Mytilus edulis: one gene and its partner. The protein of the gene in region 1 purifies or fractionates together with the protein of each later gene. This does not show direct contact. Links are inferred from orthologs where the notes say so. Each region holds a gene or a part of one and is shown in the gene's direction. Other genes may lie near its edges.

What was found. The genes of interacting proteins can lie anywhere in the genome.
Region 2: the proteins of dnaJ homolog subfamily B member 6-like (region 1) and BAG family molecular chaperone regulator 3-like purify together in Homo sapiens (co-immunoprecipitation; 3 studies listed by BioGRID and IntAct, with this or other methods). This does not show direct contact. The link is inferred for Mytilus edulis from reciprocal best matches to the Homo sapiens genes DNAJB6 and BAG3.

The regions. Positions count from the first base shown.
Region 1 is NC_092345.1:102,189,927-102,201,312, reverse strand, and holds the start of dnaJ homolog subfamily B member 6-like, read left to right. Parts: upstream 1-7,165; 5' UTR 7,166-7,289; intron 7,290-11,386. Other genes in the region: polyribonucleotide 5'-hydroxyl-kinase Clp1-like, read right to left, coding at 1-96, 490-615, 1,387-1,500, 2,407-2,478, 6,887-6,907. UniProt on the Homo sapiens protein: Has a stimulatory effect on the ATPase activity of HSP70 in a dose-dependent and time-dependent manner and hence acts as a co-chaperone of HSP70. Plays an indispensable role in the organization of KRT8/KRT18 filaments.
Region 2 is NC_092355.1:71,846,725-71,858,122, forward strand, and holds the start of BAG family molecular chaperone regulator 3-like, read left to right. Parts: upstream 1-6,134; 5' UTR 6,135-6,231; coding exon 6,232-6,369; intron 6,370-10,402; coding exon 10,403-11,398. UniProt on the Homo sapiens protein: Co-chaperone and adapter protein that connects different classes of molecular chaperones including heat shock proteins 70 (HSP70s), e.g. HSPA1A/HSP70 or HSPA8/HSC70, and small heat shock proteins (sHSPs), e.g. HSPB8.

The DNA.
Region 1 (11,386 bases):
AACATAAACAGATGCCCTATCAAGTCGTGCTGCATAATTCAACAACAGGCGGCATAAAGTACTTTTCCCAACATCAGTAGGTCCTACAACCATTACCTACAAATCAACCAAATCATTGATTAAATTAAAATATGATGTGACCTGATTGGTGATGATTTTGCATGGTCTATTTTTTTTAACAATCATCAGAGAAAAAAGTTATCATTAAAAATTGAAGTAGGACATGCCATCACTTTTAAACCACCTGAGTTATATTTGTTCCCTGTTTATAATTTCTGTGTGTTTTTTTTTTTTATATTTTGCATATTATTTTGTCATGTGCGTGCCTTCTTTTGATGTTTTTCTCAATGTTTGTTATCAAATAGTTTTTGGTTATATGAAATTACAATTCAAAATATAAATTATAAAAATTTCAATGGAGAATACTGAAAGTTATATTTTTTTTTATCTCTATTCTAGCTTGGGTTTTATATGATATAAAATACCTACTCTTGGTCCTCTTGATCTTTCTTCGTCTGCTTTCTGTCTCATTTGTTCAAGCGCTGCATGGACATTGACATAAACTGTCATAGGTGTGCCATCAGCAATGTACGCCACTTCTGTTCTACCTTCTAAATACACAGCTGTTAAGGTAAAATTATGTTTTATACCAGTTTGAAGTTTTAGTTGGGATTCTTTGAAGATTTTCTAAGTAAGCTAATCTATGCTCAGAAAATTTTATCTATAAATTATAATTCATACTTAGGGTTAATTTTTCCAGGTTCACTTCAGAGGAGGGCAAATACCAGAATAAGTAAAATATGAAAAAAACAGGTACAAAATTTTAACAAAATTTCCATCTGGATACTATCTTATGATCATAAAGAAGCTTCTGTCCATGTTTGGTAGAAATCCAGGATAGTTTAAGAAAGTTATTAAAATTTTAAAAACTTTAACCACAGAGTGAATGTAATGTTTCCTGGCAGAAAAACTAAGTCCATTTATAAGTCAAATTCGGAAAACCAGATTTTTTTTTTAAAATTAACTTCTGGATATTATCTTATGATCATAAACAAGCACTGTCTATGTTTGGTAGAAATCCACAATAGTTTAAGAAAATTATTAAAATTTGAAACGACAACAACATGCAGGATTGCTGTCTTGCTTTTTTGATAAAAGTGGAAGGCTCAACAAAAATAACTCTGTATAGGTCTGAATATTGCCTACCTTTCATGGTTCTGTTTACATAGTTTCAAAAAGTTTTGGTATGATATTTTTTACAAATTCTGCCTACATGTCATTGCTGAATGTTGGTTTACTTTCTTTACAAATTATGTTCTGGTATTATATTTTTATACATATAATACACAAGTATATATTTCATGTACAGTTTTACACAAAGGATATTTTAACAACACACCCATGCCATGTATAAACAGCTACTTTGGAACAAGATTCAAATAAATATTTCTTTCCTTTTGTCAGCTCTGTACCGAATATTTCTGCCATTCCATCAAGAAGCTAGAAAATAAAAGTGAAATCAACATTAACTACTGTATCCTAATTAAATAGTTTTCAGATTAACTCCTGTATTAATGGTATTTTTGCATTGAACACTTAAGCTCTCTGCTGTTGTTATAACAATGTAAATTTATCACTAAAGCTCTCTGATGTTGTTATAACAATATTCTGAAGTTTTTAGTTTGATGTCTTTGTTGTCATAATACATTTACCATAAAATCTATCCACTCTTAATACTATAAATTTACCTCTAGAGCTCTAAAGCCTATTACTATGTTCTACCCAGGACACATTTACCTCTAGAGCTCTAAAGCCTATTACTATGTTCTACCCAGGACACATTTTCGAATTCAGTCTTCACGCTGAGTGGCAGCCTAGGCTAGTAAAATTGCTCTTGGGCCTGTAAAAATCATATCTACAGGTCAACAGAGTCTAACTTAAAAATTTCAAAACTTGAGCTTCAGGCCTGTAGATTTAACAATTCATCGTGAAGACTGCGAATTTCATTCATTAATTTTCAACATCAGTCATGAAACCAAGTAACTTGGTATAATTCAAGCGAGCATTTTGATGTAAAACAAAAATTACATTAATAGCTATTGCTTTTCCAAAGAATTTTAATTCTCTGTGTTATAAGCGAGCCATAAATGTACATCTAAAGCCTATGGATTTTGTTGCAATGAATCACCTATAAACCTTTGTTTTATGCAATAAAAATACTTTAAACTGAAGCTACATGTAAACTGTTGTTATTTCAGTATGTCAATCTTTCAAGTTTTTTTTTCTTTTTTTTTCTTTTAATATTCCTTTCCCTAAATCTTCATATATAGATAGAGCTAAATATTGTAGTTATTGCAGAGCTAAATATTGTAGTTATTGCAGGATATTTTATAACTGTTAAAATACCTCTAAAGTAGCTGTAGCTCTGGCTTCTACTTCAAATCTTAGCTCCTGATCTTTCTCTAGCCTATATTCCTCCTGTAATAAATCAAATTATCATCAATACAATGATTGACCTTAAAAATAATGACTGACCTTAAAAACGATGATTGACCTTAAAAACGTAACAATAAAAAAAGATCAGAACTGATTAATTACAGATGTAACATAAACTACACTATTTGTGTCTACCGTATTATAAACAATATAGAGAAAAACATGCATGCCTAGGAACTCCAAGAGGGTGTACCTTCACAAACCCATCAATATATGTACTGATAATAGATTGCTAATTTGATAAATGAATTAGGAAACAACGAGATCAAAATATATCTTTGGTTTGGACATGCTTCATCAGTCAGGAGTACAGTACTACTTGTAAAAGTAATCTTTGTTTACTTGAAGAAGTAAATAATAATATAAATATATATTAAAGTAAATTTTGTTTTGTTCATTTTTTCTTATAATGTTTGAATAATCGCGCGATATGTCTCCCCTTATCATTACTTGTATAAGTTGGTTTTTTTTACAATCCCAAATTTTTCTCATGTAAGAATATATGTCTTCTACAATTTTGATCAGGTTAGCTCAAAATTTTTCATTGGAGTTTGATGTTTCTTCTGATTGATTTCACAGAGAAACTAATTGCGCCAAGATCTTAAAAGAGGGAACAAAGATACCAAAGGGACAGTCAAATTCATAAATCGAAAATAAACTGACAACGCCATGGCTTAAAATGAAAAAGACAAACAGACAAACAATACTGCACATGACACAACATAGAAAACTAAAGAATAAGCAACACGAACCCCACCAAAAACTAAGCATGATCTCAGGTGCTCTGGAAGGGTAAGCAGATCCTGCTCCACATGTGGCACCCGTCGTGTTGCTTATGTGATAACAAATCCGGTAAATAGTCTAATTCGGTAGGTCACATTCATGAAAGGGAAGATGATTGTAGTTACTTTGTAAGGAACATAATTATCCGATATCATTTGTGAAACGGTTATTCAATAACAGTCAACCAACTCGTCATCACGTCCATAAAATTATTGAAGGAATGATTTAAACTTCACCATTTGGAACTCTTGGTTTAATAGCATACGTGTGAGCAGCAACTCTCTATCAAGAAAATCATGATAGGAAATGCAAGCACAGGAATATCGTATCAATTGGGAGATGGGAGATATATACCCCATATGCAAAAACGCTGTTTTTTTGGGCTTGTAAATGAGAACTGTTCTGAAGATAATAGACAAGGGAAATTTTCATTGTCCATGAAATTACACTAAAATGATGAGTAAAGACATGATGGTCACATCTGAAAAGGACAGTCAATTAAAAATTCTATTTGCACATAGAAGTCCTGAGAAATTCAATGAGAAGAAGACAGCCGGAGATACATTTTGTACATGTATGTACATAACATCCCAATAGGTCTCCAGTCACAAACTTTTAGCACCAACAAAGAAAGAGACATACGAGATAACAATGAATATGATAGGAGAATATTTAAAGATTTCAGGGGGATTCCAGGAAACACTAAGCCTTGAAGAATTCCGATACAGTGCCTAAACAATTTAACTAAATTAAACAATGTGACATTACCCAGAGAAACTACAAGTAAGCACAAAGAGACCAGATGTGTCAAAGCTAAATATTGACCGTAGGATCAGGATCACCAGCCTCACTGTGACTGCCACTAGTCAGTTTGCCAACCCTTGATGGGTTTAAACAGGCACTGGCTATCTTCACCATTTTCATAAATTGTAGTTATTGGATTATTAACTGTAAATACTTGGTTTTTTTAACTGTATATCATTATATAGAGGTGACTGTATGGCATGTATGTGTCAGTGTGAATATACTCAAAATGAGTCCTACACTTAATCAGAAGAAACAATTCAACTAATTTATACCCAAAATATAACATATATATGTCGATCATTTAATTGTTACATAAAAACAGCTTCTCATACTGTTATTTTCAAAAACAGGACGTTTCGACTTACCCGAACATCCGCAACCTCAATCGTAACAGCAAAAACAAAATTAAAGTACATGGAGGAAAATACATGGAGGAAGATACACATAGGGCGTAATATGCACCAATGAGAAGAGTTGTGCCATAAGGCCATAAGATTGAGATTTGAGGATCATACATATACAGACTCGTTCTCTTTGTCAGGTAACATTTTTGTCAAAAATTCTAGGCTACAGAAAATTAAACGAACAGAGAAAAAATGTTCCTGTTGAGGCTGTACATACTAAGTCTTTAGTCTTTAGAAGTGTCAACTTGACACTATAATCTCTATCTGTAATTTCGATCACTCTGGTAATTTTATGGCTCTATTGTATTAAAATCATTAGTACATTTGTATTTATGATGTGGCACTACAGAGAAACTAAATAAACTAGTATCTCAATTGTTTGTAAAACAATTGAAAGGTCTTTCCTGTAAAAGTAATGTTTTCTTAATGTTCTTTGTACGACCTTTCGTTTGATATACGACAAGCATACCTTCTGAAACTTTTCGCTTTTTACACTTAATGACCTCATCAGCCTACATTTTTGAGATCGGAAGTATGATATATGTAACACAGGGTAGATGAGATTTCGTTTGATATGCGACAACGCCATGTTCTAAAAAGTTTGATTTTTACACTTAATAACCCTACCCAACTAATTTTTGGAGGTTGGGAATTTGATATTTCAAATGTACACATCATGACCTTTCATTTGATATACAACAACCTTACCGTAAAAGAAGATTTATTTTTTGCACTCAATGACCCCATCCAACCCATTTTTGGGAGACGTCAATTTGAAATTTGAAATGTACGCTTTATATTCTTTCATTTGATATGCGACAACCTTACCATCTGAGAAATTTGAATGTTTGCACTAAATGACCCCACCCGTCCCCCTGGGATGAAAAAGGGGTTTAAAATTTTCATTTTTAAGTAGAGTTTATTAAGACCTTCAATATGATATATCAGATGACCCCATATGACAAAGTGCAAATAATGATGTAATATCAACTATATAAATAGAAGTTATGAAACTTACAAAGTCAATGCAAAGCTTGAAATTTTCAAATTGATTTTTTGGTGTTTTTTTTCCATGGAATATTTTTCGTATTTGGTCAAACATATAACTATGTCAACCTCTTCAATTTCTAAAACATTTTAAGTGCTAAGCTCTGGTTGATTCAGAAATACATGCCTCCGCTCGCAAAACTTCAAACTGCATTATCTCAAAAACGACAATAGATATCTCAAATCTGTTAAATGATAAATGATCTACAGTTGAAGGACAACATTATAGGAAAAGAATTGAAACAATTTGAAAGTTCAACAAGGTCACAATTAATCATCAAATATATGATGCAAAACCAAACTTGAGAACCGGAAGTCGTAGAGACATGGGACTATCACCATTCAACTCAAGACCACTTGACCTTTCAAATATCACAAGGTCAAGGTCATAGTATAATATGAAGGTCAAGGTGAAATTTCATCATGACCTGACATTGACCTCAAATTGAAGGCCTTGAATTACTGATCATCTTTGCTGTTGATAGTAGGTTGATATCTGTTACCTTTAAAAAGATATACACACAATACTATACTTGTAAGACTCATCCCGTTGTAACTTTTGAACAGACGGTCGGACATTTTTGGGCTTATTGTATAAAATGTAGAACTCGTTGTGAAGAACATTTTATACGCTATATGTATGCAGTAAAGTCTTATCGTTTTTCTAATATGTAAGCTTGAGATTGCAGCGTAATTTTTTTTTTGCACTCGGTGACCTTTGACCTTGGATGCATATTAAAGGTCATATGAATTTAAGATTATTGGTGAAGGTTCCAAGTCTCTATGACTTTCGGTTCTCAAAATAGAATTTTTGAAAAATTATTTTTAAATTTTAAAGGGAAATAACTCCTTATAAGGGATGGCAACAAATTAATTGTTTATGTTTATAAACATTTCCATCTGTTCTTATACATGCTGTCATTTTCAATTCAATTCTATCTCTAATACTTTTTGAGAAAAATGCAAATAAAAGAAATTGTTTCAAGGGGATATAACTCTCAAAGGGGATGATGAAATCTTATGCAGCCTCATATGGTAATACATCATGATGAGATCTACCTATTGACCAATTAAAGTTATGATACCTTTTAACTAATTTTGGGGGGACCATGTTGAAAAAAATCAATAAATGGGAGATTACTCCTCAAGGGGAGGGTGAAATCCTACAAAAGTTCATCTGGTAAAAGTTCATGTTGAGGTCTATCGATGGTTCAATTTTGGTATTGATAACTCCAATAGAAGCGGTAGGAGGGCCTGCCAAAAATACAAATCCTTGTTCAAAGGATTCAAAATCAGCTTTGTGATCTTAAGCCATAAAACGTTAAAACAAATATGTGTATATTAAATACCTCTTTCTTTTCTTCGGACATGTTTTATTCCTGTGCCGATGAGCAGCAAAACTTCTGCTAAATTATGTTTCAACAAAATTTGTTTCTCATGGGGGCTGCCATTTTAAAAATTACTCTTTAAACATTTGATTTTTTTATGTTCAGCATTTCTGATTTAAGTTCTTTGTATTTGAATTATACTTAATATTAAATAAAATTTAATTGATACATAATTTCTATCATTAATTATCAATGTTTAACCTTTCAATTCATATATACTCTCTAAATATAGTCAAAATCATTCATGCGTTTTATACGGAATACACTTTACAGAGACGGATAAGCTTCTTGTTTGGAAATAATATTGGCCTACTTTCTGTTCTATTCTTTTCTATTCTGTTCCAAAAGAACAAAACAAAGATTGGTAAGTTGATTAGTATTGAGTAGAATTAACTAGAGAAAAAGGCAAGCATGTATATTTATCGAAAGCTATGAACGAAAAAAAATGAAATAGAAAAGATGTTTTTTTGCACAGAATTTCAGAAATTATAAATGATTATAGACAGACTAAAGAATCTTATTTGTATATAGTGGCTATAGTATTTTTACCTGATAAATATTGAATATTGTACAATGTATTCTTTATGATGTACATGTATATGAGACAAAATTATAGTTACCTGTACCATTATAAACTTGTACCAATGTCAACTCATACCACTAAAAAAAACTTGTACTAATGCAAACTTGTACCACTGCTAACTTGTACCACTGTAAATTCATACCATTGTAAACTTGTACCAACTTATATAATTATTGAAATGCATTGAACATTTTGAAATGGTGTTTAATGATGAATATACAGTGGAGTAGTCCCCGGTGTCTGCGCGGCCCGTGATATCGCGCATTAGCTTATTTTGTCATATCAACACAGTATCACAAACACAATCGTTCTTGTTATTGTTTTAGCCATCTGAAGGGATAAAAAAGAATAAAATTGATAAGTTCAAGAGTTAATTAATAACTGCAATCCCGTAATTTGCCATATTTGGCCAATTTCCGTTAAAAAAAAATACATCATCAGATAAAATTTGTTTTATTTAAGTCAAACTTATATCAGATTGAAATGATTTTTGCTCTGCATCCTTGGCAGTGTTTTTGGTTCAAACTCAGCTATATTTCGTAGTATAAAATCTTTTCTTTTTTTAAAATAAGCTATTTTTGGAAGGCATGCGCGAAATCACCGGACATTGGAGGAACTCTCAGAACAGGGTTTCCCTAATTTTGGACACATATTACACAAAATCTTGAGGGTGAAACCATACAAACAGAAGATTTTATGAAATAAAAGTATGTTATGAATGTGTTCACATAATATTATTCATTTATTGGTTTTATCAGTTGAATGAAGTGAAGTCATAAGTCTTAGGTGAGCGGATACACCGGACTGCACCGTATACTTTAATTTCACTCAATACCTCTTAAGTCTGTAAAATGTATAATATGAGGCAGGCATTACCTGTGAAAGGGAACGAAGTCTATGATTTTATTTTAATTCAAACATATCTTAATTTCGAAACGGAAATACCGTAATGTTTCCGATTTTGGTTCTCTTGTTAGGGATTTTAGTTGTGCCGTTATTTAAGTTATGACGTCATATGCAATTTTAACAAAGAAACGCTATCATTAGGTAACGTTTTTTCATATCAAGGAATTATTAAAAAAATGAAATTGATATTGCGTTCCTTCCTATTTTATACTAAACTGATAAATATATATATTTTACTCAAAATTTCATGCAAACAAGACCGGAAAAAGGAAGAACATTGTAGATTTCTGCGCAGATGCAGGAATTCAAAACATGACATAAAAAAAATTGAACTATTTTGAGTTCATTAGTACAATGAAAATATCGGGAAAATTTTTCCGTTTTTTTTTTTTATTGAATTTTCTACTGTTATTGGGGACTTTGTCCCCATATAATTTGAAATTACGTTGACCCATGTGTAGCTTATTTTCCATGTCTAACTAATTCCCATAATTGACCCTGTTATTATAGATCGCTTTTTTTAGTTGTCTCTTTTATGAGGTACATTAATTTGTATTTACAATGGAGAGCTACAATGTAGCAGAAAGAGCAAATTAACCTGATCGTAAATTCGTAATGTGAGTAATCGTTCACACAATGACAAGATCAAGTTAGAATTTGTTCCGTTACAATGATTTTTGTCGAGCCTTCGACTTTAGAAGAAAAAGCGAGACAGCGATCCTACATTCCATCGGTGTCATCGACGGCGTCCACAAATATTCACTCTGTGGTTAAAGTTTTTGAAATTTTAATAACTTTCTTGAAATATCCTACATTGTAGATTTCTACCAAACTTGGACAGAAGCTTGTTTATGTTCATAAGATAGTATCCAGGAGTAAATTTTGTAAAAATAAAATTCCATTTTTTCCATATTTTACATTTTTTTACTTATAAATGGACTTAGTTTTTCTGCTCGGAACCATTACATGTACATGCAATCTGTGGTTAAAGTTTTTAAAATTTTAATAACTTTCTTAAACTATCCTGGAATTGTACGAAACTTGGCCAGAAGCTTGTTTTTCTTCTAGTTAACATTACATACAGTCTGCAGTTAAAGTTGTTAAAACATTTTTAAGTTTCTTAAACTAGCCTGGAATTTTACCGAACTTGAACAGAAGCTTCTGACAATCAAAAGATAGTATCGAGAGGAATAATTTTGTTGATTTTTTTCTTCATTTTTGTTGAGTGTGTGATTAACAGCAAAAGTAGACAGGACAATGGGTTCCGCGGAACCCTTATAAATTTTTTAACCAGATTGGGACTATTTAATACCATGCAATACTCACAATATGCTTGTTTTTGGGGGAAAGACGGCTTCAAGCCGTCAATCCCATATGGGGTTGACCAGAGTGACATTCCCTCACATCATTCATTTTGTTTTTATAGTGTGATTACCCCCAAAAAATCTTACTGAGCTTGATGAGAAGGAAACACACAAATGAAAAGATTGACTTTAAATACTTTTCTACATATTTCCCTTCTGTTTCTAGCGAAATTATCGTATTTTGAGCTCTCTTTTACACTATTTACGTTTCTTTTACAATCCGGAAAAATCAGTGACGAGATATTCTAAATATATCCAACCTACATTATATTTTATAATGACGTCATTGTTGGAATGCCACACTATGAAGAAGCAGGGATATTCTTCACTGGTTATTTAAATCATTCTCAGAGTTCGTGCACTAATTGTAAATTATTTGTTAAATTTAAACATAATTATGTTTGCTGTAGATGATTCAAACATCAACATGCAATACTTTAATTTGTAGGTCAACAACTTTCAGAGTAAACAAGGGTCGTGGAGATACATGTACATGAGATCGGGGAGAGAAACAATTTTTTTCATTTTTTCTGTAAAATTCTGTTCTGTGAATCTTCCTCCAAATCAGGAGCACCTCAATTGATGAGTAATTATCCACTAAAATAAAACTTGAAAATGTGACATTTAGTATATGATTAGTAGTCTTCCATTAAAACTAAATTGTGTGTACCAACAAATAAATCATTGTAATGGTAAAAAATGTTTCTTTTAAAAAGTTGCATTTTATAGTTTAAACCTATAATAATTTATTCATGAAATTTACAAATATTTCAAAATGTAGGATCTGGAAACAAGCTTCACACATTTTACATCAATCATATTATTTTTTATTAGTACCTGTACCCCTGTGATGAGAGTTGTAACTGGGAACTTTATCAATGGAAATTTGAAATTAAATAGATTTTTCAGTCCTAACTTTCTTAAGAAAAAAATTAAAAATCTTAGAGTACTGTCACAAAAAATGGAAAATTCAGTTCAGTGGTACACAATTAAGATTTCAGAAAACATTGTAGTTGTTGTTAAATGACAGAAATCAGTTGAATTTTACATAATTAACTATCAACTTTAATCGAATGTTTAGATTTAGAAGATGCAGATCTCTTGGTCCAAATTGAATCATACTAAGGAAACAAAATTAAATTAAACAACAATTGACTTCAATATTGTCAACCTTTCTACATGTTCTAGCTGTTCTCTTTTTTCATTCTTTATATATGAAGACTATCAAAAGATACCCCCCCCCAAAAAAAAAAAGAAGAGACAAGGGCCATCTTTCCCCTCAGAGCTATTCAGCTCTTTGATTTCTGAAGTGCTGCCCAAAAATATATTGATATAGTTAATTCCTGAATTATGTGTGTTGCAGAATTTTCGGTTTCAAATTTTGATCCAATTTAAATACAGTAATTCTGTGAAGATTATATGTGACAGAGGACAAACAACATATCAGTAGCTATTTAAAATAAGCTTTTTCTCACTGAAATAAAAATTTATGAAATAGATCTGGATGTTTAATTTTACTAATAAGGCCTCTTTATAAATAATGTTTTGAGTGTATAAACAAGTCTGAAGAATTGTTAAAAAAAGAACTATCACCAACTGTTATGGTCT
Region 2 (11,398 bases), on another chromosome or scaffold:
GTTCAACCACTAGGGTCGTATAAAGCTGCGCCCTGCGGAGCACCTGATTGGTTATTATCTTGAATATTATTATAGATAGAGATAAACTGTAAAGAGCAATAATGTTCAGCAAAGTAAGATTTACAAATAAGTCAACATGACCGAAATGGTCAGTTGACCCCTTTAGGAGTTATTGCCCTTTATAGTCAATTTTTTAACCATTTTTCGTAAATCTTAGTAATCTATTACAAAAATCTTCTCCTCTGAAACTACTTGGCCAAATTAATCCAAACTTGGCCACAATCCCCTTTGGGGTATCTAGTTTAAAAAATGTATGGCGTGACCCGGCCAACCAACCAAGATAGCCACCATGGCTAAAAATAGAACATAGTGGTGAAATGTAGATTTTGGCTTATATCTCTGAAACCAAAGCATTTAGAGCAAATCTGACATGGGGGGGGGGGGGGGGGGGGAATTGTTCATCAAGTGAAAAGCTATCTGCCCTGAAACTTTCAAATGAATCGGACAACCGGTTGTTGCGTTGCTGCCCCGAAATAAGTAATTTGAAGGAAATTTGGAGATTTTGGTTATTATCTTGAATATTATTATAGAAAGAGATAAACTGTAAACAGCAATAATGTTCAGCAAAGTAAGATCTACAAATAAATCAACATGACCAAAATTATCAGTTGACCTCTTAAGGAGTTATTGCCCTTTCTAGTCAATTTTGACAAATTTTTCGTAAATTTTTGTAATCTTTTACAAAAATCTTCTCCTCTGAAACTACTGATCCAAATTTAACCAAACTTGGCCACAATATGCATTATTAGGGTATCTAGTTTAAAAAATGTGTGGCGTGACCCGGCCAACCAACCAAGATGGCCACCATGGCTAAAAATAGAACATAGAGGTGAAATGTAGATTTTGGCTTATATCTCTGAAACCAAAGCATTTAGAGCAAATCTGACATGGGGGTAAAATTGCTTATCAGGTCAGGATCTATCTGCCCTGAAATTTTCAGACAAATCGGACAACCTGTTGTTGGGTTGCTGCCCCCGAATTAGTAATTTTAAGGAAATTTTGCAGATTTTGGTTATTATCTTGAATATTATTATCGATAGAGATAAACTGTAAACAGCAATAATGTTTAGCAAAATAAGATCTACAAATAAGTCAACATGACCAAAATTGTCAATTGACCCCTTAAGGAGTTATTGCCCTTTATAGTCAATTGTTAACAATTTTTATAAATTTTTGTTAATTTTTGTAAATTTTTAGGAAATATTTTCCACTGTAATTACTTTATTTAAATTCCGTATGAAGAAACGTTTCCATCGTAAAAGCACCACAAGAGACGGATCTAAGAGGGGTATACCTTTTTTAATCATAGACTTTTTACATGTTTTACTTGTTCTACTCCTAACGATGCCTAGTTTGGGGCTCTTCAAGCCCGTTTAAAAAATCCTGGATCGGCATCTGTTGTGATCAGATTGTGGAATTCTTTTTACACCTAGTATTAGTGTAGAAATTATTTTAAATATGCACGCAGTTCACGTCGCGTTTCTAGAATGATAATTTGTCTTTTAGGGTGTGCAAGGATTTTAGACAACCTCTCCAAACGGCCTTTTCTGGCATCATATCTGTCATTTATACTGAAAAATATGATGACGTTTTACCTGTAAACTTTGTGTTTGAATGTCATAACTTTTAGACAAAGGTATAACTAGTTTTTAAGTAGTATTGAACTTGGCAGTCAATATGTTATGACCCAGGTTAAACGCAACTGGGACTATTATATGATTATAGTATGTCCAAGATTTTTATACGACCGCAAAAATTAAAAAAAATTTGGTCGTATATTGGTATCACGTTGGCGTCGTCGTCGGCGCCCGAATACTTTTAGTTTTCGCACTCTAACTTTAATAAAAGTGAATAGAAATCTATGAAATTTTAACACAAGGTTTATGACAACAAAAGGAAGGTTGGGATTGATTTTGGAGTTTTAGTCCTTACATTTTAGGAATTAGGGGCCAAAAAGGGCCAAAATAAGCATTATTCTTGGTTTTCGCACAATAACTTTAGTATATGTAAATAGAAATCAATGAAATTTAAACACAAGGTTTATAATCATAATAGGAAGGTTGGGATTGATTTTGGGAGTTGAGGTCCCAACAGTTTAGGAATTAGGGGCCAAAAAGGGGCCCAAATAAGCATTATTCTTGGTTTTTGCACCATAACTTTAGTATAAGTAAACTATGAAATTTAAACACAAGGTTTATGACCATAAAAGGAAGGTTGGGTTTGATTTTGGGAGTTTTTGGTCCCAAAAGTTTAGGAATAAGGGGCCCAAAGGGTCCAAAATTGAACTTTGTTTGATTTCATCAAAAATTGAATAATTGGGGTTCTTTGATATGCCGAATCTAACTGTGTATGTAGATTCTTATTTTTTGGTCCCGTTTTCAAATTGGTCTACATTAAGGTCCAAAGGGTCCAAAATTAAACTTAGTTTGATTTTAACAAAAATTGAATCCTTGGGGTTCTTTGATATGCTGAATCTAAAAATGTACTTAGATTTTTTATTATTGGCCCAGTTTTCAAGTTAGTCCAAATCGGGGTCCAAAATTAAACTTTGTTTGATTTCATCAAAAATTGAATAATTGGGGTGTGAAAAAATTGGGGGGGGGGGGTTAAATTTTTCTCATTTCAGATTTCATAAATAAAAAGAAAATTTCTTCAAACATTTTTTTGAGAGGATTAATATTCAACAGCATAGTGAATTGTTCAAAGGTAAAAAAAATATTTTAAGTTCATTAGACCACATTCATTCTGTGTCAGAAACCTATGCTGTGTCAACTATTTAATCACAATCCAAATTTAGAGCTGAATCCAGCTTGAATGTTGTGTCCATACTTGCCCCAACTGTTCAGGGTTCAACCTCTGCGGTCGTATAAAGCTGCGCCCTGCGGAGCATCTGGTTTTATTTACAACAATATTGTTTATTCAATGAATCAAATCGTGGTATGATATCAGATTATTACATGTCATTTTACATATCGCATGTATTATCGGCCCTAGTTCAATATCAGACCAAGACAAATGGACATGCCGTCACCAAACACATATTCATCCAAAATGACATGTTATGATCTTTTTATCATATGCTTCAACAATGGAGAAAAATAACAGCTAGAATCATATATTCATTCTTTTACGTGGTTCCCAAATAGAAGTTCAAAGAGTGAAAAGTTCACGGACGTCGGACTCCAAATTTCATACTTTCGATATGAAATCTTTCTATCATATGCCTCAAGAAGAAGAAAAATATTTTGAATGGACGAATCAACAAACAAACAAAAAACAATTCAACAATATAAATAATGAACACTGTTTGGAAAAGTCAGCTTTTCTTCAAGTAACTTTCTAAATTATGTTTGAAACTTTTAAAAAATGCATTTATATAGTAATTTGTTTGTTGGGATTTTTTTTTAATTTTTTGTTGTAATTATTTTACACAATATACTTTCAAGTATTCAAATATTGTTTTGTGCACTACTTTGTAAATCAATGTTTTTCACTGAAAACGTAGCATTGAGGTGTAATTTCCGGAATTTGCCGAATATCACCGGAATGCCACGCGATAACGTTACGGAAAGGCATGTGATAACAATCGAAGCATGTGATAAACTTTTCATATCAGCCCGCTAAGCACTAATTCGAAAAATATGGAAGTTGCGTTAACTTAATGCTATTATCATACAGTAAAAATCGTATGTTATTTAGTCTAAGTATATGATAAGTTATGATATACATTTAAATTATAATATAAATTTAAGTTATTATGAAAATTTAAGCTTCTGATCATATAAATTTAAGTTATAATATACATTTAAAAAAAATATAAACAAGTGGATACAGAAACTCTCGTCATGAAACATTGCCTATTCAAACTTGCTTTAAAAAAGAGTCTTATTTGCAGTTCTTTTTCCTCAGTCCAAATGCCGATATTAAAGTCGCAGGACCGCATCACACAACAATGTTCCCGCGTACTCAAATATTCTTTTATACCATAATTCATGATTTAAATTTAATAACGTTGAACTTAATATTTTCCTGGTACTATTACATGTATAGTATACTGTTCGTTTATAGTCCAAATTATGAAAACCTAAATTCTCATTTACTAAGTATTCAAACATTATTCTTTATTTACTTTAAACAATACAGTTTATCAGTATAATATGCTTAAATACACAGTTTACAAGTTGTATAGCGTTAACATACACATAAATAAAAAACGTCAGAAATATCAGTTACATATTATACATTTTGTGAGTTTCAGACTACATATAATAAACATAGGTCTTAAGGTGGTACCCAACACTTCCACTAAAATTAAGTTGGCTCGTTTAATTTTCATAAAATTTTAACAAAGTATTTACTTTGACCCTCTGACAAAAATATCAAAATTTCAAAATATTTCAACCAATCGTTTTATCAGAAAAATTACACTGGTTATATAGCAGTTTGACAAACACTAATTTTGATCATTGAGAAGCTTAATATTCCCTTAACAACACAACGTTATTAAAACATTTAGCAGATTTTACAGAGTTATCTCCCTGTAGTGTTAGGTACCACCTTAAATATTATTCCTGCACTTAAATGCATACTAGAGTAAGTACTTTCCTAAATTACAGAGTTCCTTAGTGTTTTCAACAGAAAGCAATTGTACTAATTTATAAGTTGACGGTCTAGTTCAATAATATTTCTTGATAAACTTTTTATGTATATCATTATTTTGTAAGCCTTGGATTGATTCTGACATCAAAATCATATCATCAGCATACATCAATAAAAAAAAAAAGTGTTATGTCCTGAAATTCAAGTCCACAGTTACCATTATTAATAAATTCATTCTCAAAGTAATTGACATAAAATGAAAATAAAATAGGGGAAAGAACTTCCCCTTGCATTAAGCCAAGATTATTAGAAAAGTATTTTGAATTAAATCCATCAAATATAATACATAGATCTTACATTGTTATACATTGATTTTAAAATATTAAGCAATTTTCCTCTGATTCCTTATTTAGAAATCTTGTACCACAAACATAGACGATCAACTGTATCAAACGATTTTAAAAAGTGAACAAGGCAACAATTTAATCTATTACCTTTACAAAAAGAATTTTGTATGACAGAATATAAACAAAACACAGCATCTACTGTACTGTAACCAGTACGGAAACCAAATTGTGCATCAGATAAAATATCGTTCATTGATGCCCATTTTAGCTACTATTCAAAATAATAGTGAATAGTTTACCTAGATTGCTGACATTAGACTTATACCACGGTAATTTGCTGGGTGGTTCGCATCCCCAGATTTAAATACTGGCACTAGAATAGCATCAGACCAAGTGGACAGAAGATATCCAGAGCTCAAAACGGCATTGAAAATGGTACATATATAAGGCAGCACAAGGTCCTTAAACTCGATGAAAAATTCGTTTAACAAACCATCTGGACCATGACTTTTTTCGCGTTTTAAGTCATGTATAGCTTTAATAATGCCATGCGCTGTCACTTATAAATTCTGTATAATAAAAATAATATTTATGATTTCATCTTGTCACGTTACAGTATAACACATGTAACTTATAGCATGTATAGTTTAAGTTCAGTAACAACATTTTAACATTCGTTTTATTTCGGGGTTGCTGTCTCATTAATATATGAAATGAAGTCAATGTTCGCTGTTTAAGTTAAAGTACATGAGTCATGTCTTTTTTATACCGAGTTGGATCACTCATTTATATCATTTAATTAGTAATAGCCTGAGCTAGCCTAAATATAACATATGTATGTATACATAAGAATTTCCTTGACACAAAAGTTTGAAATATTGAAAATGAAAGTAATGTTGGCTCATACCGCATTTTATTTAAAAATTTTATAAAAATGTTTTTTCTGCACCAAGCCCGCCTGTGTGTATGTACTCAATTATTAATTATTGTTTTATAAATAAGCTCAACCCAATTGGAACCCCGCCTCCAGGTCATGTTTACACGAATGAGTTGTTCCCCCTTAACATTAGCATTTCTCTAGACTTATTATAGTTAGTGATACTAAAAATCCGAGTTAAATTTCCGGAATGTTCTAGGTGTCGCCCTAGTCGATTGTTCTAGATCATTGAAGCCAAGTCGAGAATAAGTTAAGAAACTGGCTATATAAGGCTTGTAAATTCGAAAAATGTACAATAACCAATATCAAAACAGTAGAATGATGGATCTACCTCCCGGATGGGAAATGCTGACCGATACACGGACAGGATGGCCATATTACGTCGACCACAACACACAGAATACAAGCTGGGAAGATCCGAGATTGGTATGTTTACACTTATATTTGAAGTCTTTACTACGTAAAATCAGCATATTAATATAAATATATATATATTTGTAATGCCTTATGAAGTGATAAAAGCAGGAACTCGTACATTATAACACCACAATCTAAATTCACGGAATTGTGTTCAAAAGAGTGTCTCAGGGGGTGGGGTTGTTAAATTTTTATTACTTTAAATGTATATGGGGGTCTTCTTCACTAAGGTTTCCAGTCTTCCATCTGAATAAAGATGATTCACAACTGGTGCATGCATGAGGGTAATAACGCCTTTTAACGTCAGGCGTCAACCAGTCATTTTTCGGCTTCCATTACTTTTCAAATTGGTTAAAATTTACTGTAATTCGTCAAAATATCCTTATGGTGATTCGTCAGAGGTCTCAAACAATAATTGTTGCTGTCAATTTTGGAAATAAAAGAACGTGATGTTTAATCGTCTAAAAGAAAGTGTACATTTTATGTCATACATATAAAATTACCGTTAACGTCATTTGGCAAGAATTTTACCGTTTTTCGTCATGAAGGTACTCCCATTACAACACCTCATGCATGGCCTTTGTGATGAATTTGCAACACTCAATCTGATATTTCAGATAGTATAATGCAGTATATGACACTTAAAATTTTTGAGGTCATTGCTTATCCTTTGTCATGTTTGTGACATCATACTAACCAACAGACAGTCACACTGCACAAATCCTACACTGAAAATATTTGCAATACACTGATACAACTTTAATATGTTTAAAGGGGCATAAGCTGTCAAGATCATGTTCATGGATTTAACCAATGTTCTCATATTGGATTTACAGCTTGCCTTTCCATAATAAATAGAATCCATATATACCAGTCAGAGCTCAGACATTTATAAATAAGTCTGAATCTGCTTTTAACTCATAGAGGTCTAAATTTGCAAGTTTTAAATTAGGATTTGTCTCCCTTTAATGCAAGACAAAATACGACTTTAATAAGTCAAATATTGTTAAGCAAGAAATAATTGACCAGAATCAAAAAGTGGCAAATATCGACTCCTACAAGTCGATAAGTGATCAAAATTGGTTAACTTCAAGACCCACGCATATTTATTTAGAGGTCATGCATCTAAATCAAATAATGACAACATTGAAAGACAATGCTTTGTCTTCTAAAGAAAAATATGAATGAGAGTCTAAAAAATCGGAGATAATGTTAATTAACCTTACAATGCAACCACCTGGAACCACACTTAATGAGGTAAAATATCTGTGTTTAGTAAGGATGTTCAATTAGACAATTAAATATAGATAGCTCAAGTCCTTGTGAACTCTCAGACAGGTTTTTGCTGTCATAGGTGGTGTAGTTTGGCCACCAAGTGAAATTAAGTTTTTTCATCAACACAAATAGACCTAAACAAGTCTGTGGTTCATGGTACAAATGTACATGTAGATATAAGAAGATGTGCTATGAGTACTAATGAGACAACTCTCCATATCCTAGTCACAACTTGTAAAAGTTAACCATGGTTCCTGACATATGACAGGTGCAAACAAATGCAATGGGTTTAACCCTCTTGCCGCTGGAGGGACACATGTCACTGTCCACACCGACTGTGCCGGAGGGACACATATGTCCATGTTTTTATTCATGCAAGCTTCTCCACAGTGATGTATGTTTTTCAAATGAAAATCTAAAGATCAAACATGGTTATAAAAAAATGTATGTTTCATCAATGGGTCCCAAGTGTTACAGATATTATTGCATATTGTTGGACATCTTAAGTCAAAGACGTTGAGCTGTCATATTTTTTAGCACACAAAATGCAACCTTGAAAATCAAATGGCAGCAGGAGGGTAATAAAGGTTTTAATAGGAACCAACCTTCACCCTTTCCTGAAATAGAAAAACATGTACTACATGTATAGAATATCAGTTGAAATGGCTTAACTTATAAATGCAAGACAAGTGAACATACACTGAACAAAGAAATTTATTAAATCCAGATGACACAATGTAAATACAAAATCAAAATCATAGTTTAAATTTAATGTACTATTATAGGTTTGTCCAAGTGACAGATTATCTACATGAGCCATGGAAACAGAGGTAGAGATTGACTCAGTGTTCTCCCCAGGCCGTTTTAGCCGACGCAATATTTTTTCACCGTGATGCTATAATAATTCCCGCGACGCTATAATTATTTTGAAGATGCTATTTTACTTGTCCTCAATTTTGAACTTTCATCTATCATCGATTATGATCATAAAAATTATATCACCTTTAATTGTAATCCCTTTAAGTCGGACACTAAAGGCAATTAAGAGATTAAATAGCTAGGTGTTAATTGCCCTCAGGGTGATAACTGTTTGGATGTGAATATCCCAAGCTGACACTTGTGACTAAACCAAGTGTCACCAATTTCGACATGGAAAAATGCAATCACAAAACAATTCGAAATCTATGTTTTGTATTACGAAATTTCAAAGATTGAAACGATTTTTTTGATTTTTTTAAAGATCGTTTATTTGTGCAACTCTCCAAAAATAACTTTTTTTCTCTTCCGGTAATACGAGAGCGAGAATTTTGGTTTAGAGCTAAAATAAGTTTAATACTTCTGTAACAAGTTATCATAATTGGCTTAAGTTTATGTTAAATCCATTCAATGCATTAAAAGCGTCTTATTCATTCACAATCTCTTGTCAAACAATGTTTATTCTCGGACTCATTTTTCGTAAATTTTCTACGGCCGCCATTGCACATTTTTGTGTAAACTACGGATAGGAACCGTACCAGATATGACAAAAATCCGCATTTTCACGATAATGACAACAGATGGACAGTAGACAGAAAAAATATACCAAGAGAGAAAACTACGCATTAACAGACTATTTGTTAGATAACTTTGTTAAAAATACATTTTGATGTAAAGATAAGAAACAACTGGGACTAATTCATTGAGTGCCTTTAAACAATGAATTTCATAAACATGATAAAAAAGTTTTTAAATTGATTTTTTTTGCTACTTTATCTTTAATTAATATAATATAAAAAATAGTTAATTTTGTGTACTAGATATTGAGTTTTGTATATTATATACAGGTTGCACTATAATGAACCATTCATTCATTTGACTTATTGTTGTATTGTTGGGTAACTGAAACCACATATTTATTTTTGTTTGGCACAAAAGGAAAAAAGTAATTCTGTAACTATAAATGAATAAAGAAAACATAAACTGAAACAACTGTTTTTGTGGTTATAGTTTAATTGTATTCTCAGTTATGAATTGAACAATATAAGCTAAAACATATAAAGGAAATAGAGCATCAACGCGACACGACAAATGACATTAAAATAGAGTAATTTTTTTTACGCAAAATGTGATGCTATCCAAAATTTTTGGGGAGAACACTGTGATTGTTACATGTGTATGTCCTTTAAAATGGTCTATACAATGTAGCATTTATAACTAAGATCCCTCAGGATGGGGGCATAACTCATAAGCTAGACATGACACATGGTAAGTAAGGGTACTAAGGTGCTTTAAGGCCATTTGGAGAACATTGTACTGCTATAGGGTTTATCATGTTTATTCCTCATTCTAATACAAGACTGGGGCAATGCTATAGAAAGCCCGCAGGGTTCTCACTAATGATTTTTAAAGGCGAGTCAATTGACTCATCATTTTTGGCCATGATGAGTCCAGCAGTAAGAAAAAGATATTTTAATCATGTTAATGCAATATGATTTATCATTTTAGTCTCCATGACCAAATAGAACAATGAAATGACATTAAATTTAGATTTCTTTTAAACTTTTGCTATTAAATGATGATATGTGCGTTCAGTTTATACAAAATTTACAATCTTGATGCATCTTTGGACTCATCAGTTTTGAAAATGATGAGTCCAGACAGATTTTCATGATTCTAGGTCTCATGGACTCGCCTTAGTGAGAAACCTGAAAGGTTTTAATTGTGTTGGTTCTTTATTCTGACATAAGACTGAAGCAATGCTTATACCTCATTCTTTTTTTCATTACAGACATACAGAGCAACTGCTACCCCAGGACAATACTTTGTCAGAGAAATACCAGTTATGCACGAGTCTTCAAATGGAAAATTTAGATCAAATGGCCAGCCTTCATATCCTTCTCAGCAAGGCTTTGGAACATTGCCAAGACAAATGGACATGCCGTCACCAAACACATATTCATCAACCCTACCAAGGTCTTTTAGAACAGGTTCTCCAATGTCTGGGAGGAGTTCATCTCCAGTAGTAAGAGAAATTCCAATTCAGCATTTGTCCTCAAATCAGCCTAGTCAGCCCCAGCCACCACCACAACAGCAGAGTACAGCTCAGCACACTGGACCTTATGGATATACCATTTATACTGGTCAACAGCCAGGTGGAGGGCCAGGACAACCGGTTAGCTATCCACAACAGCCACCACCTCCATTCACATCACAACAACCTGCTTATGTGCAGGCTTCATCTAATTCCTCCTCCCAAGGTGGATATCCACCACATGCTATGGCACAAGCCAGTGCTCAAGCTGGATATCCAAATAACTCACAGAGCAGTGCATATTCAAGTAGTACACAAAGTGGTGGATATCCAAATAGTACACAAGGAAGCTATCCCGACACTACATGGACAGCAGCATCTCCTCAATCCAGTTATCCACAGACCACTCCTCAAACAGCTTATCCACATGCTTCCTCCCAACCTCAGTCAACCAATACTCAGACTGGTCCTCTGCCTTCTCAGCAGGGAACAAGTTTACCACAAACAACTCCTCAACCAGAGACTATATCACAAGAGCCAAAGTTACGAGAGATACCAATTGCCCATGAAACATTTGTGCCTCGACAGCCACCACCGCATCAACAAACGCACATGCCGCAGCAGCCGCATCATCCACAACAGCAACAACAAAAACCACAGGAACAAAGGGTGACACCTACACCACCAAGCCAGTCACAAAGGAGTGAAACACCTAACAGCAGTCGTCAGTCTCCTGAAACTGCTGCCCAGTCT